Alligator mississippiensis: one gene and its partner. Each later gene encodes a partner of the first gene's protein in a complex. Links are inferred from orthologs where the notes say so. Each region holds a gene or a part of one and is shown on either strand. Other genes may lie near its edges.

The links. Proteins that work in one complex are often made in the same cells at the same time.
Region 2: TRAPPC11 (region 1) and TRAPPC12 share a complex: the UniProt entries of both Homo sapiens proteins name them as parts of the multisubunit TRAPP (transport protein particle) complex. The link is inferred for Alligator mississippiensis from reciprocal best matches to the Homo sapiens genes TRAPPC11 and TRAPPC12.

What each region holds. Positions count from the first base shown.
Region 1 is NC_081825.1:71,702,994-71,710,031, forward strand, and holds the start of TRAPPC11 (trafficking protein particle complex subunit 11), read right to left. Parts: upstream 3,037-7,038; 5' UTR 2,929-3,036; intron 2,245-2,928; 5' UTR 2,227-2,244; coding exon 2,023-2,226; intron 390-2,022; coding exon 220-389; intron 1-219. Other genes in the region: RWDD4 (RWD domain-containing protein 4), read left to right, coding at 3,369-3,392, 5,754-5,834. UniProt on the Homo sapiens protein: Involved in endoplasmic reticulum to Golgi apparatus trafficking at a very early stage.
Region 2 is NC_081824.1:36,432,653-36,440,306, forward strand, and holds the start of TRAPPC12 (trafficking protein particle complex subunit 12), read right to left. Parts: upstream 3,007-7,654; 5' UTR 2,681-3,006; coding exon of another isoform or gene 2,636-2,680; exon of another isoform or gene 2,621-2,635; intron 2,577-2,620; coding exon of another isoform or gene 2,535-2,576; exon of another isoform or gene 2,432-2,534; intron 2,403-2,431; exon of another isoform or gene 2,322-2,402; intron 1,146-2,321; 5' UTR 1,141-1,145; coding exon 1-1,140. Other genes in the region: EIPR1 (EARP and GARP complex-interacting protein 1), read left to right, coding at 2,535-2,576. UniProt on the Homo sapiens protein: Component of the TRAPP complex, which is involved in endoplasmic reticulum to Golgi apparatus trafficking at a very early stage.

The DNA of each region.
Region 1 (7,038 bases):
AAGTGCAATTGTGTGGATTGTGCATCAGATCCCATCACGCCTTCACCTGTACGTCTAGAGGGGCCCCAAGGCAGCCCACCGTAAAATTATGACAAGAAACACGACGTGAGAAATTATGAAAAGAGATTAAACTGTTGTATAGCAAGTCTAAGTACTGTGCAACCTACACCCGACTGCTGATTTGTTTAACCTGGATGACAATACAAACACAAAGTGTACCTCACAATTTCAACTCTAGTTGCACATTCTGACTGTTTTTCTTTCCATTGTGTCTCATCCCAGTCCAGTTCATAGAACACAACCACAAGTGCAGGTACCAGATTCAGATGTTTGTTCATCCAACCAGTCTTCAGTATCCCTTTTGGAATGTACCACTCATAAGATGTCCTCTGAAATTGTTAAAATCGATCAGTTATCAATCCCAACTAAAGTTGCCATATTTGGGAACTCTTTGTATACTGTTGATCTTGAGGATGCATTTATCATCTTTTATCCAACAATCTTGCCTTCTACACTGAAACTTAATGCTATCTTTTGGTTATGATTTCATTTAGCCATCATATTTAACCAACTGGTATTATAAGCACACAAACATCACTGGAACATTAGATAAAAACAGAAGTCTTTGAAATCCCAGGGAACTGAGATGGGAGTGGATGGACCGGAAGGAGAGAAAAAGAATACAATACTAAAATACACATTACGTCCAGTTATGTCCAGGGATAAAAAGTTATATTCTTCACTTATGGAATCATTTTGTGCAAAAGGAAAAAAAAAAAACACAAACAAACCAACCAAACCAGTATTGTAGAGCAAAAAAGAAGTCGAAATTTGAGAACTGAAGCCAGGTCTTTTGGTGTCTAGTTCTCAGCCCTTGGTATGGACTATGCTGCTTATCAGATGCCAAACTTTGACAGTACTTCCTAACTCCTTCTGCAGCGCAGTAAGTAGGCTACAAATACTATCTTCTACTGCAACTCACTCAGTCAAAATTGAATAACTGGAGTTCGGATGTTGTCCAAGTTACAGATTTATAACTTTAACAGGTAATTCTTCCAGATTTCATGTAACTAGAGTGTAGAAAGAGCCATGTTAATCTGAATTCAGGCAGAAAGCAGGTCAGAGTAGCACCTCAAAGACCAACTCCTTCGGAAAGTTATAATCTTTCATAGGTGAGTGTCTACCTCATCAGATGATGTGAATGTACTTGCAGAGAGGAAAGATACCAAGTGGGGAAAAAATAACTTAAATATAAGGATAGGGAAAGGAGATGGGAAGGGGACTGATAAGAGAGGCAACAGTGGGTTGAAGACATCAGAAAGGATTAAACAAAGCAGTTAACCCACTAACGGACATAAGGGTTATAAAAAGATAGTCCAGAGATAATCCAGAACCTCTGTTGAGACCATAATTAAGGATCAATTCAATATCATTTCTAAAAAACACACAGGGCGCTTATACACATGCTCCAGGAGGTGGACGGAGGGTGCTTTAATTAGAGTGGCCTCCCCACACTTCAAAATGGTGTGGGGGGGGGGGGGGGAGGGCCGCTTTATCTAAAGCTTGTTAAGTGAGCTTTAGATAAAACGCCCCCCCTGCCATTTTGAAGTGCGGAGACACTGATATAAGAGTCACAGGAGGCTACTGGAGCACAGGAACTGCCACACTCTAGCAGACGTGATTAATCAAGTCTGCTCATGTATAGGCACCCACAAGCCTGTGGTAGAGCACTAACTCCCTGGGAATGCCATCACTGACCAGAGAGTAGCTGTTCATAGGCAACAGACCACTAAAAGCCAACCTGAATGCAAAAGTGCAGATTAAGAAAACACCCACAGGTAGGTCTGTGTTAAATATGGTCTCAGCAGAGATTCTACCTGCCTTCCACATAGCAGAAAGTAGTAGTAAAGTTTTACAGAGTAATCACGAACAGCAAACATTTTACAATAAAAATTTGATCTCTCCTATAAGATTGAATATTTTTTTAATGAGAGAAATAGATAGACTGACTTTGGACTATACCTTTGTTCTGCATTTGGGATATTCATGATCACCAGGAAGTACTTTGAACGAAATCGGGACTCGATCTGCTCTTCTATTAGCACAAAATGCATCCCAGACTGCACGGTGAACAGCATTGTATATAAGATCCAAGCCCGTGAGGGTTACAAATGCCATAGGACGACAGCACAGCTCCACAGGGAAGTCCCACTGCGTCGGGGTCATCTTGAGCTCGTCTTAACCCTGAAATACAAAAGTGCCACATATTTCAGACCACTTCCTGAGCAAGCAGTTCCTGACCGCATGCAACAGCCATCATTCTCCTAACGAAAGCAAGCTGGCCCCTGCAAGCAAGAGGCTGGCCTGCTCCACTGAGGCAAAATGTATTTTGGGAACATGGAAGATGCAGGCATTTCTCAGCCACTGATATTTTTTCTTTTAAGATGGTTTTGTTTTTAAGGAACCTTGATGAAGGTCTCACGCCTTGATGAACCCTTGACCAGGGTTGCTCCCTGAAGACAGAGGGCACTGGGAAATCTTCACCTCTTGCTTCTTTCCAAGCCTGACTAGAGACACCCAGAGAGGTTTTTGTTTTGTATCTTGTTCACAGCCAGACCAATTCCAAGCTGAATGGGCCAAAGCCCAACAACCAGACTCCCAAATTCAACTAAGCAGAGCTCAACCGCCAAGTCTGCGGGGCTGGGCAGCCAGGCCAGGCAAGTCTCCTGCCCCCACCCAGGCCCCCTGGCCTAGGGCTTGGTGCGAAGCTGCGGATACTCCCCAAGCCCCCAGCAGGCGCCCACCGCGCATGCTCAGCCCCGGGGCAGAGGCCTCCAGGTTGCACCGGGGCTGGGACCCAGTCACGAGGCCAAGGGAGCAGCCGTGGGGACACAAACGCAGCCCCCCGGGTCCAGGCAGCGTTCTCACCTCCCGTGCTCCCACAGTTCCTCCCGCCCAGCCCAGCCGGCACCACTGCAGACAGCAGAGAATAGCCAGGAGAGCCAGGCAGCTCCACCTGCGGAAGCAAGCACCAAGCGTCCGATTGACAGCCCGCTGCGCCAATCGGCGGCGCCCAACCCAACGACCAAGCCCATCATTGGCGCGCATGGAGACGGTCCGCGGGGAGCGCGAGGGGCGGGGCCACGAAACTGGCCAATCGCTAGAGGGAGGGGGCGGGCCCGGCGACTTGGGACCGGGACCAATCGGCGATCCATGAAGCAGCCTGGCAGAGGAACTGGAGCGGCAGGGCGGGGCTTGGCGTTTGCGCATGTGCGCGGCTTTCCTGCGTGTTCGCGTGCTGCCGGGTCGGGCTGAGGGCGGGCAGCGGCAGGGACCTCCGGGGGGAGGTCTCCTCCCCCTCACGCGCCATGACGGCGAACGAAGACCAGGAGGTGAGATCCCCCACTCCACGTCACAGGGCTCTCCTGCCCCCACCTCACCCCGCGGGGAGACGTCACACACCGCGGGGGCGGGGCTGCTCTCGGGCACCCCCGCCCGGCGCCTGCCTTAAAGAGGCCGCGGGCGCTGCTTGGGGGGGGTCTGGCCTTGCCTTGTCTCTAGGGCTGGTCCGTCCTTCCCACCCCACCCCACCCCACCCCCGGAACCTGCAGGTACCGTTTATTGTGTGGCCCGCCATAAATGTAACGTAGGGGAGGCCTGATTTGAAGGCAGCGTCTAGTGCACAGGGATGGCCCATGGGGCAGGTGCTGAGAGCTGGAGGAGGGAGCAGGGCCATAGCAGCTTGAGGGAACCTGGCACCAGCAGTTAGCTGGTGCTGCCAGGTGTGAACGGAGATCACTGGTGCCAAGTGGAGCAGCACTGTCGCCTCCTGTGCTTTACGCAGGGCTGGATTAAGGCATACGCAGACTGAGCATGTGCCGGGGGCCCTAAGTGAAGAGGGAGCAGTTGTGGTTATTTGACATATTACAATTATTGAGTGAAAAAAGTCATAAAAGCTTCATCTGCAGCTGGGGGCCCACAAGTTTGTTTGCCTCGGGCCTGCTAAAGGGTGAACCTGGCCTGGCTTTACGTCTAGTGCTCTTGTCAAAGCGCAGCCCAAAACGGCCTTTTGTTTCTTTCTTCTTTTTTTCTGCAGCTACCTGGCATCACTGACTCCTGTTTCTACAAATGTAATTTTTAAAGCTGTAACTTGAAAGGGTATGAGAAGGTGATACAACATTTGGCACGGGCAGTAGGAAAAAATCACCTCCCGTGTCATTTGGCTGCATTGGGCAGCTGACAAGCTCCAGAAAAAGTTTTCATTTTTTCCGTAGTCCTTATTATGAAAAGATTAGCCAGGAGGCTTTTGTTTGATTATTGTGGGTTTACAACTTCAGTGGATCCAACATCAGGTTGAATGGCATAATGCTATAATTGTGCCAGTCAGTGGCATCTTGGGGCATTTTTACATGTGCTTTGGGGGTGGGTGCTTTAACTGGAGTTGCTCTGAGGGTGGAGCTGCTCTAATTAAAATGCTGCAGCATCTCATGTATCAGCCTCCATGCATGTCAAAATAGCAGCGAGGGTGCTTGACCTAAAGCTCATTCAACTTCAACTTGTTAATGGTCTGAAGGTACAGCAAGGGAGGTTTAGTTGGATATTAGGAAGAACTTTCTCACTAGGGGACTGGTGAAGTACTGGAACAGGTTACCTAGAGAGGTGGTGGCAGAGCCAACCATAATGGGGTGCGAGGCCTGGGGCAAATCAGCCTGCGTGGGGTCCCCTTAACACTGCACAGGGCTGTGGTACCCCTGCAAAGGGGGTGGGGGAAATCTCTGTGCTTCTTCCGCAGTGTGGGGCTGGGCCACAAGCTCCAGGTGCGCCCTGTGGGAGGGCCTGCGACCACTCTGCCTGGCTCTGTGGGGCCCCCCCAAAGTACGGAGTCTGGGGCGGTCGCCCTGATTCACCGTATCCTCGGGACGGCTCTGGGTGGTGGAACCTCCATCCTTGGAGGTTTTCAAGACCCGGCTAAACAGAGCCTTGACTGGGATGATCTAGTTGGGGATGGTCCTGCTTTGAGCAGGTCCCTTCCAACCCTAAGTTTCTTTGATTCTATACACAAGATGCAGAGACTGGCTGGAGCAAACTAATTATCACACTCCAGCACGTAATTACAGCACGTTGGAGCAGCCTTTCCAACATGTCTACAGGCACCTTTGGATTCTATTTGGGGACAGATCTACTTGGACCCCTTTCATAAAAAGGGATCTTGTAAGTGAGGAGCTATTTTATTTATAGCAAGTGTAATGAAGATAGAAGCATTCTTTAGATATTGTTTGATATTTTCCCATGGAAAGTCACAAAATTAAGATTTAAAAAGTCCTAGTTGTCTGAAATCCTATAATGTTCACTCAATTGAGGAGTTTCTGAAAGTTTTTTTATGAAGATGGATTATTAGCTTATGCTAATGTTTGGACACCCTTGTGTAGCTTACCCTGGAGTATGTTTGATACCCTTGTGTAGCTTAGCCAGAATAATTTAGATTGGTATCCTGTGTTTAAACTTGTTTTCTGGAAAACTGAAATTGGATTATAGTAGTACCAAACAAGACTGAATCAGTTACATTTGTTGGCTGTATTTTTATGGGATCTATTGACCTATGTAAACACAATTCAATGAATGTATACTTTGCGTGTGTGTGGTGTATGTGTGGTTGTTCTGGCTTGACCTTTTTACATAAAACATTTAGAAAAACATTAAACTGAAGTATTAGATTAAAATTGTTAACTGTTTTCTTTATCTCATCTTTCTAGATGGAACTAGAAGCTTTACGTTCTATTTACGAAGGAGATGAGCGTTTTAGAGAACTTAGTCCTGTTTCCTTTCAGTACAGGGTAAGACTTCATGAAGTTTTGTAGCTAAATGGAATATGTTGTATATATTACAAAATAGTTTCTTAAAACATATGGCTATTCACCTAGTGGACAATTATAGCATAAGGAACTAGATTGATGAAGCTACTTGGAACATGGACATGTTGACAGATTACTTGCGGCAGATCAGTCTGACCATGTCGGAGCCCCTAAAAGTAGTTCAGCCCCACCTGCAATAGTGGCAGATACCCCAGGATGACTGGCTATCTTTTCTCCCCAGAGCCTGTTTTTTTGTGTGTGTTGTGCCTTGAGTGTCATCTCTCTGGTGTGTTAAAGGCACTGGGCATCTGGCTTCTAGAATGGAATCAACAGTTCTATGTAAAGTCAAGTCAGTCCTGAGGCCATTGAGGCACCTTGGATGCTGTGCATCACTGGTGATTCTTTGGGCAGAGTGACCTGGTGACACCCATCTCCCCTCCAAGTATGGAAGGCGATTGGCTCGCAGGGAGCTCATGTGCCCTTTGACAGGTCTTGTTTTTAGTCCTGCTGAGCGTCCACACGCCCTCCTCACCCAGGCTAGCCCAGGTGGGGATACCAGTTTAGTCATCGACAACCCAACCATGGAACAGGCTGTACCAGTTGACATGGTACCAGATAGCAGACCGAGAGAGGCCTGGTCTGATGGGGTCCCTGTATAAAGCATGGTCAGAATTAGGCATCTCAGAATTAGATCTATAAAGCCAGCAGACTGAGGAGAGCACCTCCTAAGCAAGCCAATGAGGGAAAAAGAACAGGAGTACGTCTCAAGCCATACCTTAACTATCAATACTTAAGCACCAGAGAAGATTCATAGCTCAAAACCTTTCTTCTGCAGTTAGATGCCAGAATAATTTCTTTAAAAAAGGCAAAGAGAACCTGCTACGTTTTAGGCAGTCTTTTAGAAGGTTGCAGTGATGGTCTCTTACGTAGCATCCTGGTAGTTAAAGAACTCGCCCTGTATGTGAAAAGCCTAAGTTTAGTGATCACCTGAGCCAGTAGGAGTAGAAACCTATATTTTCTACCTCCCGAGAGAATGCAGAAAAAAATTCAAGATTCTCCTGAGCAAGATGATTCAAGAGAGCAAGATTAAACAAGATTCTATATCCTTCTGGCTAGATCATTCGCTTAGGCAGTAGAGAAGACTTCGGTTTTAGTCTTTTAATCCAATGACTCATGAATATAAAAT
Region 2 (7,654 bases), on another chromosome or scaffold:
CTGTGTGGCTACTGAGATTAAAACATTTCTGGTTTCGTCACTAGGAAGCCAGGCATCATTTCTTCTGTCTAGTTCACTTATATTCAAGGCTGTGGCAAAGGGGTCATCACTTCCAGAAAAAACAGCCTGGATCTGGGAAAATGGTTTGGGAGACTCTGATATTTCTAAAGATGCTGGGGGGCCACCTGCTTCAGATCTCTCATTTCCTCCTGCATAGATGGGGTCAGCAGAGGCATGTGAACGATCTCCGACTGTAGAAAGAGATGACATTTGTTCTGGTACTGAAGAGCTTGCATTAGGATTACTGACAGAAATAAAAGCGGATGTAGTAAATGAATCAAAAAAGTCAGAAGCTAGAGTATTAGTGTTAACAGTATCACCAAAAAACTTGCTTAGACTAGGACTTGGTTGAACCACCTGTGGCTGAGACTTCGCTGGAGTCTCATTTACACTGCTAAAACTAGGAGACTTTACCATCTGAGGCTCAAAGCCATCATGTAGGAACAACTGTAGTTGAGTATTAGCATGGCTTGCTTGACTGAAAATGGTGCACACAGGGATTGGCTCAGCGTCAGGAGATGATCTGCTGGCAAGTGGTGATGATATTTGCTCCTCAGTTTTACTTTCATCAATATCACTTGGTGTTGAGGCCATTGGAACTTCGTCTCCTACCTTCTGTCCAATTTTTGGTGCTTCTTGAATTGAATCCTCCTTTAAAGATGCCTGATCATCTGTTCCAATGTCAGAAACATCTTTGGGTGTTTCTTCTTGTTCCATTTCACTCTCATTACTCAGGATTTCTTTATCCACTTCTTCTGCTACATGAATGTTTTTGGCTTCCATTTGCTCTACAATCTCCCGCAGGCAACCAAGTTCACCAGTGTCATCTTCACTATTGTTTGGAGAATCTGAAATAACAACACTCTCCATCATATGTTCATTAAGTTTATCTAAAAAGTTATTGGAATCTTCTGAGATGGTCTCATTCCCTTCAGACTCAAATTCATCCCCACCAAGATCAATGGTTTCCTCATGAAAGAGAAGTTCTTCCTGGGCTCCCTGTTGAACTTCATTCCCACTATCCTCTTCATGTGAAACACTCTTTTTAGCATTCTTATTCTTACTTCCATTATTTTCCATTGCATCTAAAGAAGAAAAATAGGCAGGAAATTAGTTTCGCTGAACAAGTACAGTACACTTCTATTCTAAACCTCAAAAGTATTGACTGAATGAAAGTTTCTAAATCCAGTAATCTGACTATTAGAACGTTAATTTATCACAAAAATCCATTTGATCACAAAAATGTTTTAAACCCACTTTCTGCCATTATGAACAGTGGAGTTACAAAACATTGTAAGGACACAAGGCCAATGGCATACGTACCCACGCAGTTCTATTTAACCACTGCAGCTGCCCCCCACAAAGATCATTATTAACACTCTGACCTGCCACAGGTAAAGTGGGGCAAGCAGGGATGCCCAGGCTCTGCTACAAGCGCTCTGGAACAACAACCCCCGCCCAACCCAAGCAGCTGACACGTGTCCGGTACATAGCATTTGCCAATGCACCTGTGTTGCCAGGTGTACGATCGTGATCATACCTGTACAATAATTTCAACCCTCGTACAATCAATAATAGTAAGAGTGTTCAAAAAAGGCGATAATTTTTTAGGTGGTTAATTGATGCAGCATATGCGAAGCCCAAATCACTCATAGAGAGTCTTAACTGACTTTTTGGGTTTGCTGTCAGTGCTTTCTTAGGACTGCTTGACTCGAAATAAAAAAATGCTTCAACTTTGACAATGTGTGGTCTCGCTCACTCACTGATTTACAGTGACAATAGAATATAAATAAGAAAAAGTCTTATTTGCATTTTTTTCAGTGTATGATAGCTGTACAGCACACACGGTAATTCAGAGCTTTCAATACAATGACTTCATATTGAAGACCTGGCAACGCTACCATGCGCTGCAGCAGACCCTGGTTCTACCGCGCACTTGGGATGCGAGGACCAGGGTTTTCTTAACCTCATCCCCTACCTCCAAACCCGCCCCTCACCCGCTCCCGCGGGGGCCCCAGTGCTGAGGCCCAGGAAGTCCCGCTCCCCGCGACCACGGCCGGCTGCGCGCGCAACGACTGCCCGGCCCGGGGGCTCTCGGTCGCTCCGGTGGCCATGGCAACAGCGGGGTGCACCGCCTAACGGCAGCAAACGACTCTCGGGAGCGTACAACGCGCTCCTCCGCCAGCAGCGCCGCGCCCCCGCCTGCCCCGCTCCCGCGCGGGGCCCCCAAAGCAGCCCCTGACTCGCTGCCTCGGCCCCACCTGCTGCCGGCTCGGCGCCCCGAACCTCTTCCCGGACAGGCGCCGGCAACCACTACGCCTGCGCCAGACGCAGGACAAACCCCTCGCAGCGCATGCGCTACCTCCTCACCCGGAAATTGAGTGAGTGACGGAAACCACCGTGGGTCAAAAAACCAGGGGGCAAAACACCCAGCAAGCAGGGACTGAAAACTCGTAGTTAGAGGCAGCAGAGCTATGGAAGACGACGCGCCGGTGATTTATGGGCTGGAGTTCCAGGTGTGTGTGTGTATGTGTCGGCTCCGTGAGGCGGGGCGGGAAAGTGTGGGGAGGACTTAATGCTTACCCGGGCTCGGATCCTGCCACGCGCCAGGGAGCTGCAGGTAATGTTGGTACGTTCCAAGTGCGTGCCTCCGGTGGTACGTTCCAGGTTTGCGCCTCGCAGGTGCGCGCCTCCCAGGTGCGCGCCCGAGGTGGTACGTTCCAGGTGCTCCCAGGGACTGGCGGCGCTGGAGCAGAGTGCGCAGGCGCAGGGCGGAATTGTGGCCACGCTCTGCCCCCAGGCGTCGGGAGGGAGTCCCTGTCCCCTCTCGGGGTTTCTGAGTTTTGCACGGAGGACCTCGCGCGGGCCCTGTGCTGTGACAATGCGCCTGTCCTGCTGAGGCTTTGAGCCGCAAGCCTCTGGCTCCGGGCTCTTGCTCTGGGCGCAGAGTCACACCCACCTCTGCGCTTGGGGTCAGGAAGGATGCTTCTCCCGTGGCCAGAGGGGTGCGGCCTGGGGGGTGTTGGCAACCTGCATGCAGCAGGACGTGGGCTGCGGTGCCCCCTGCTTCCCTGTGCCTGGTTTAGGTCTTGCGTTGCATCCATGTTGATGGGAGCTTTGCTGGGAGGTTAGACAGTGGGCTTGGATGGGATGGGATGGTTTGGGTAGGGATGATCCTGCCTTGGGCAGGGCGGGTTGGATTAGATCCACGTTTCTTAACCCGTGGGTCATGACCCAAAAGTGGGTCACGGGAATATGTGAAAGGGTCTCAAACAAACTTCATAAAATGGATTTTCTTTGTTAAGAGAAACGTGGGAAACAGCGGGTTTCCTCTTGCAGGCTGGCAGAGTTCCAGCCTGTGAGGGACTGCTTGGGGCTGGGAGGAGTGGAGGAGGGTGACCAGGTAGCGGGTACCACATGCATGCACACATGCACATGGCAGCCAGGCAGCATGGAGAGCAGTTCTTGCAGCTCCCAGCAGGTAAGTCTATGGGGTAGGGGGACTATAGTACAGACATCATGGCAGGGGGGCACAGGCAACACCTGCCACCCCATGTTCTATTTGGGGTAGAGCTGTGGCCCAAGGGGACGGCACAGTAGTGGTTAGCGAAGGTGAGGGCAGCGTGCCCTCCTCCCCCTCCCCCCCCCAATGCCCCAACACTGGCGGCCTGGGGCCTTGGGCAAGGGGCAGCTGGTTGGGAATGAGGGGCACCAGCAGAGTTGGGAGCATGGGGGTCTGTGGGTTGTGAGTGAGGGGCCCTGGCAGGGCCAGGAGGTTGTTTTCTGCTTGAACTGTTTACTGGGTTGGGCCTAGCCATCAATGTTTACAAAAGGTTGAGAACCACGGGCTTAACTGACCTCTAGAGAGCCTGTCCGGCCCTGCTTCTTGATGACTGTCACTCAGTTGCCCCCTTCCCGGCCCTCGCTTCTTCCATATCACTTCCTTACCCTCAACCCCGCCGCAGGGTAAGTGCTTTGCCCTGTCTCTGAAGAGATCTTCCTGGGTGCTTTTTTTTCCTCTCCTGTAGACCGAGGGAGACGTGTGCTTCTTTCACGGGGAGGAGGAATCCAGTTCAGGATGCTATCTGCCGTGATGTGCGAGTGATATCATAAAAAATGTCACCCCAAAAATCCTTGCCTGGGCTGATCCAGCATGTGGGGCCGTGCCAGCCAGCATCCATGGGGCTCGCTAGGGGTCCAGAAATTAGGTCAGCAGGATGAGTGGTGACAGTGTTAAAAGCTTTGTCTCCAGGAGCCTCTGCAGTTTACTCTGCCACCAAACTCTTGGAGATATGGGAACCCCTGAAGGCTGTACCTTGGTCACCTTGGGTCTAGATCCTATTCAAATATTGTTACTGGTGTTGCAGTTTCTTTCTGAATTTGTCCCACGTGGGAAACTCAGACATCAAACTGTTGGCTTATTTTCATGTTGCAATGGGGTAGTTTCTTGTAGGCTTCAAAACTCAGATGTTCAAAGAAAGGGCAACTGAATGAAATACTTAATAAAGATTCTTTGGCTGGGTGACAGCATGGGGTTGCTATAGCAATTAATTTTTTGTGTGCTGTGTTTGCTAGGGCGCAACCCATTCTTTATGGGATACAATACTTTCTCATGTCTGACCATTGCTCATTATCAGTAGTCTTATGAGGGGTGGGCAACTGGGTCTGGTGCCGTGGTCACCCCCTTAGGGCATGTCACTACTGTTGCCTACCTCTGCTCACCATTTTATGGCCAGGACACAGAATTAAATGTTACACTCAGGTTGATAACTGAGGCTTAAATCTTATTTGGGGTCATAGAATGAAATCCATCTGTAATACCCAGTACATTTGATGACAAGTTAGATAAGGCTCTCAAACTATCTAGCTCCTGCCACAATTGCTGTTCACAACAGGAGCAGCACAGACTTACTTTCTGGACAATACACAGTAGCTGTCTGGGGACTCTGGCCTAGTGGGAGCACAAGGGCAACAGGTTATATGGGAAGGTAGCTGTAACCTGGGCATCATTAAAGTTAGCACCATGTGACAAAGTTTAATCTTGCTGTCATGCAGATCATCAGGTTTTCATTAAACTGGCTAATAAATAAGCAGCTTTGCTCAGTTCCTTGAATACAACATTCATGTCATTTTGTATCTGCCAAATCTTTTATCTTCACTCTTGACAATGATTTTGATCATGTTTACAAGAAATTATCTTGTACACAGAATCATAGAAAATTAGGGTTGGAAGGGACCTTGGGAGGTCCCTGCTCAAAGCAGAACTATCCGTGACTATTACTCCAGCCAAGACTTTGTCTAGCCAGGTCTTAAAAACTTGCAAGGTTGGAGATTCCACAGCTTCTCTGTGGAACCTGTTCCAGTGCTTTACTACCTTCCTAGTGAGAATTTTCCTAATATCTAACCTAAACTTCTCATGCTGCAACTTGAGACCATTGCTCCTTGTTTCATCTGCCATGACTAAGAACAGTTTAGCTCCATCGTTGCTGGAACCACCCTTTAGGCAGTTGAAGACTGCTGTTAAATCCCCACTCAGTCTTCTCTTCTCTGGGTTAAATAAGCTCGGGTCCTCCAGCCTCTCCTTGTAAGTAGGGTGACTGTATGGGACAATGTGAAACCTGGGATGCTGCCCCCCCTACCCACCTCAAGTCACTGATGCAGCTTGGTGCAGCTCTAGTAATACTATTCAGACAGCTAAGGGAGTCAGTGACTTATTGTTCTTTACTTGTCATCTCCCCTTTTTAATGGTCATTCCACTAATCAAGCTAACTGATTTTAGGGCAGTTTTACTGTCTGCTAGGCCTTCCTATTTCACAGCTTCTGCCACTCCATCCTGTACCCAGGATGCTTATTTTAATTTATTATCCGGCTGGGGCCAGCCTCTGAAATCTGGGAATGTCCAGCCAAGCCTGAATGTATGGTTACACTCCTCATAAGTCATGTGTCCCAGCCCCCTATCCATTTTTGTTGTCCTCTGCTGGCCTCTCTCCAATTTGTCCACATCCTTTCTGTAGTGGGAGGCCCAAAACCAAACAGTACTCCAGATGTGGCCTTACCAGTGTTGAGTAGAAGGGAATAATCACTTCTCTTGATCTGCTGTTAATACTCAGGCTAATGCAGCCCAGTATGCTGTTAGCCTTCTTCATGCAAAGGGCACAGTGTTGACTCGTATTCAGCTTCTTATCTGCTGTAACCCCAGGTCCTTTTTAGCAAAGCTGTGGCTTAGCCAGTCGGTCCCTGACCTGTACCAGTGCATAGGATTTTCCATCCTAAGTGCAGGACTTTGTACTTGTCCTTATTGAGCCTCATGAGATTCTTTTTGATCCAATCCTCTAATTTGCTGAGGTCACTCTGAATCTTAGATCTGCCCCTTGTTACTTTGAATTACCAATTTATTAAATCAAGAGCAAGACCTGATAAAGGGGGATAAGGCAAAATGCTGCGTTTATTGATTACATGAATTGGACATAGAGGTTCAGACACACCACTCGTATAAACACACACACAAATCATCATACACAACATTACACACGGGTGCACACAAACTAAAAACAACCATTCCATTCTGTCATAGTTACCAGCAGCAGTTGTTCAATAATAGCACTGGGTGGCCAGCCCAGGTCTTATTGAGAGAGAGAGAGATCCTGGAGATAGCAGCTTGGAGCAGGGTGAACAGACATGTCTGTGCTCCAAAGAAACAGCAGTTGAGAGAGTTGGATATACTGAACCTGGTATATTCTAGATTCCTCTTTTTATGGGGGTTGGCATCCTTTGTTTAGCACTTCGGGGTTTTTCCATATGCAATTTCTATTTTTGCAGTTGTTTCTCATCCATCTTCTGCTTATCTCAGCCCAAAGTCAGTATGGTCATAAAAGTTGGTATCTCAGCCTTGGAGTGTCCTTGCTGCCCATCTGGCAGGATGTGCGCATTCTTCCTCGTTACCTCCTTTGTGCCCTAGGCCTCAAAGGGATTCTTCAACCAATTATTAATTAGCTTACTGGTTGGTAACTTACATTTGGTACCTTGTTGCTTACATAAACAGCTAAATCTTCTTGTCCTGTCTCTATGCCATTCTCTCACCATTTACCCTTTCACATACACTCATTCATAAAAGGGCATGCAGAGTTCATTCACTTATGTCAAGCAAAAGAAAACAAAATGGAATTTTCAAGTTACTTAGAGGACAAAACTAACATGGTTACATTTCACTACTATTACGCTCTATGTTAACATCAGCTACATTAGTTCAGTTCATGCTACACCAGGGGTGGGCGAAATATGGCCCACGAGGCTGTTCTATCTGGCCTATGGGGCCCCTAAAAAAATTTAGAAAATTAAAATATATCTGCCCTTGGTTCCTGTCAAAGATGACAGAAACCAAGGGTAGTAGGATCGAGGGGAAGCCCTGGAGGACTCCTTCAACACCAGGGCCTGCCTGCCCCCCCCCCCCCCCCCCCCAGCCTGAAGCCCCAACAGGGGCTTCTGGCCTGGATCATGTGGTTACCCTGGCACGGGAAGCTCAGGTGGGTGGGAGGGGGAAGGGCAGGGGATGAGCTGGTGTGGAGCATGGGGAAAAGTGGCCTCTCCCTTGCCC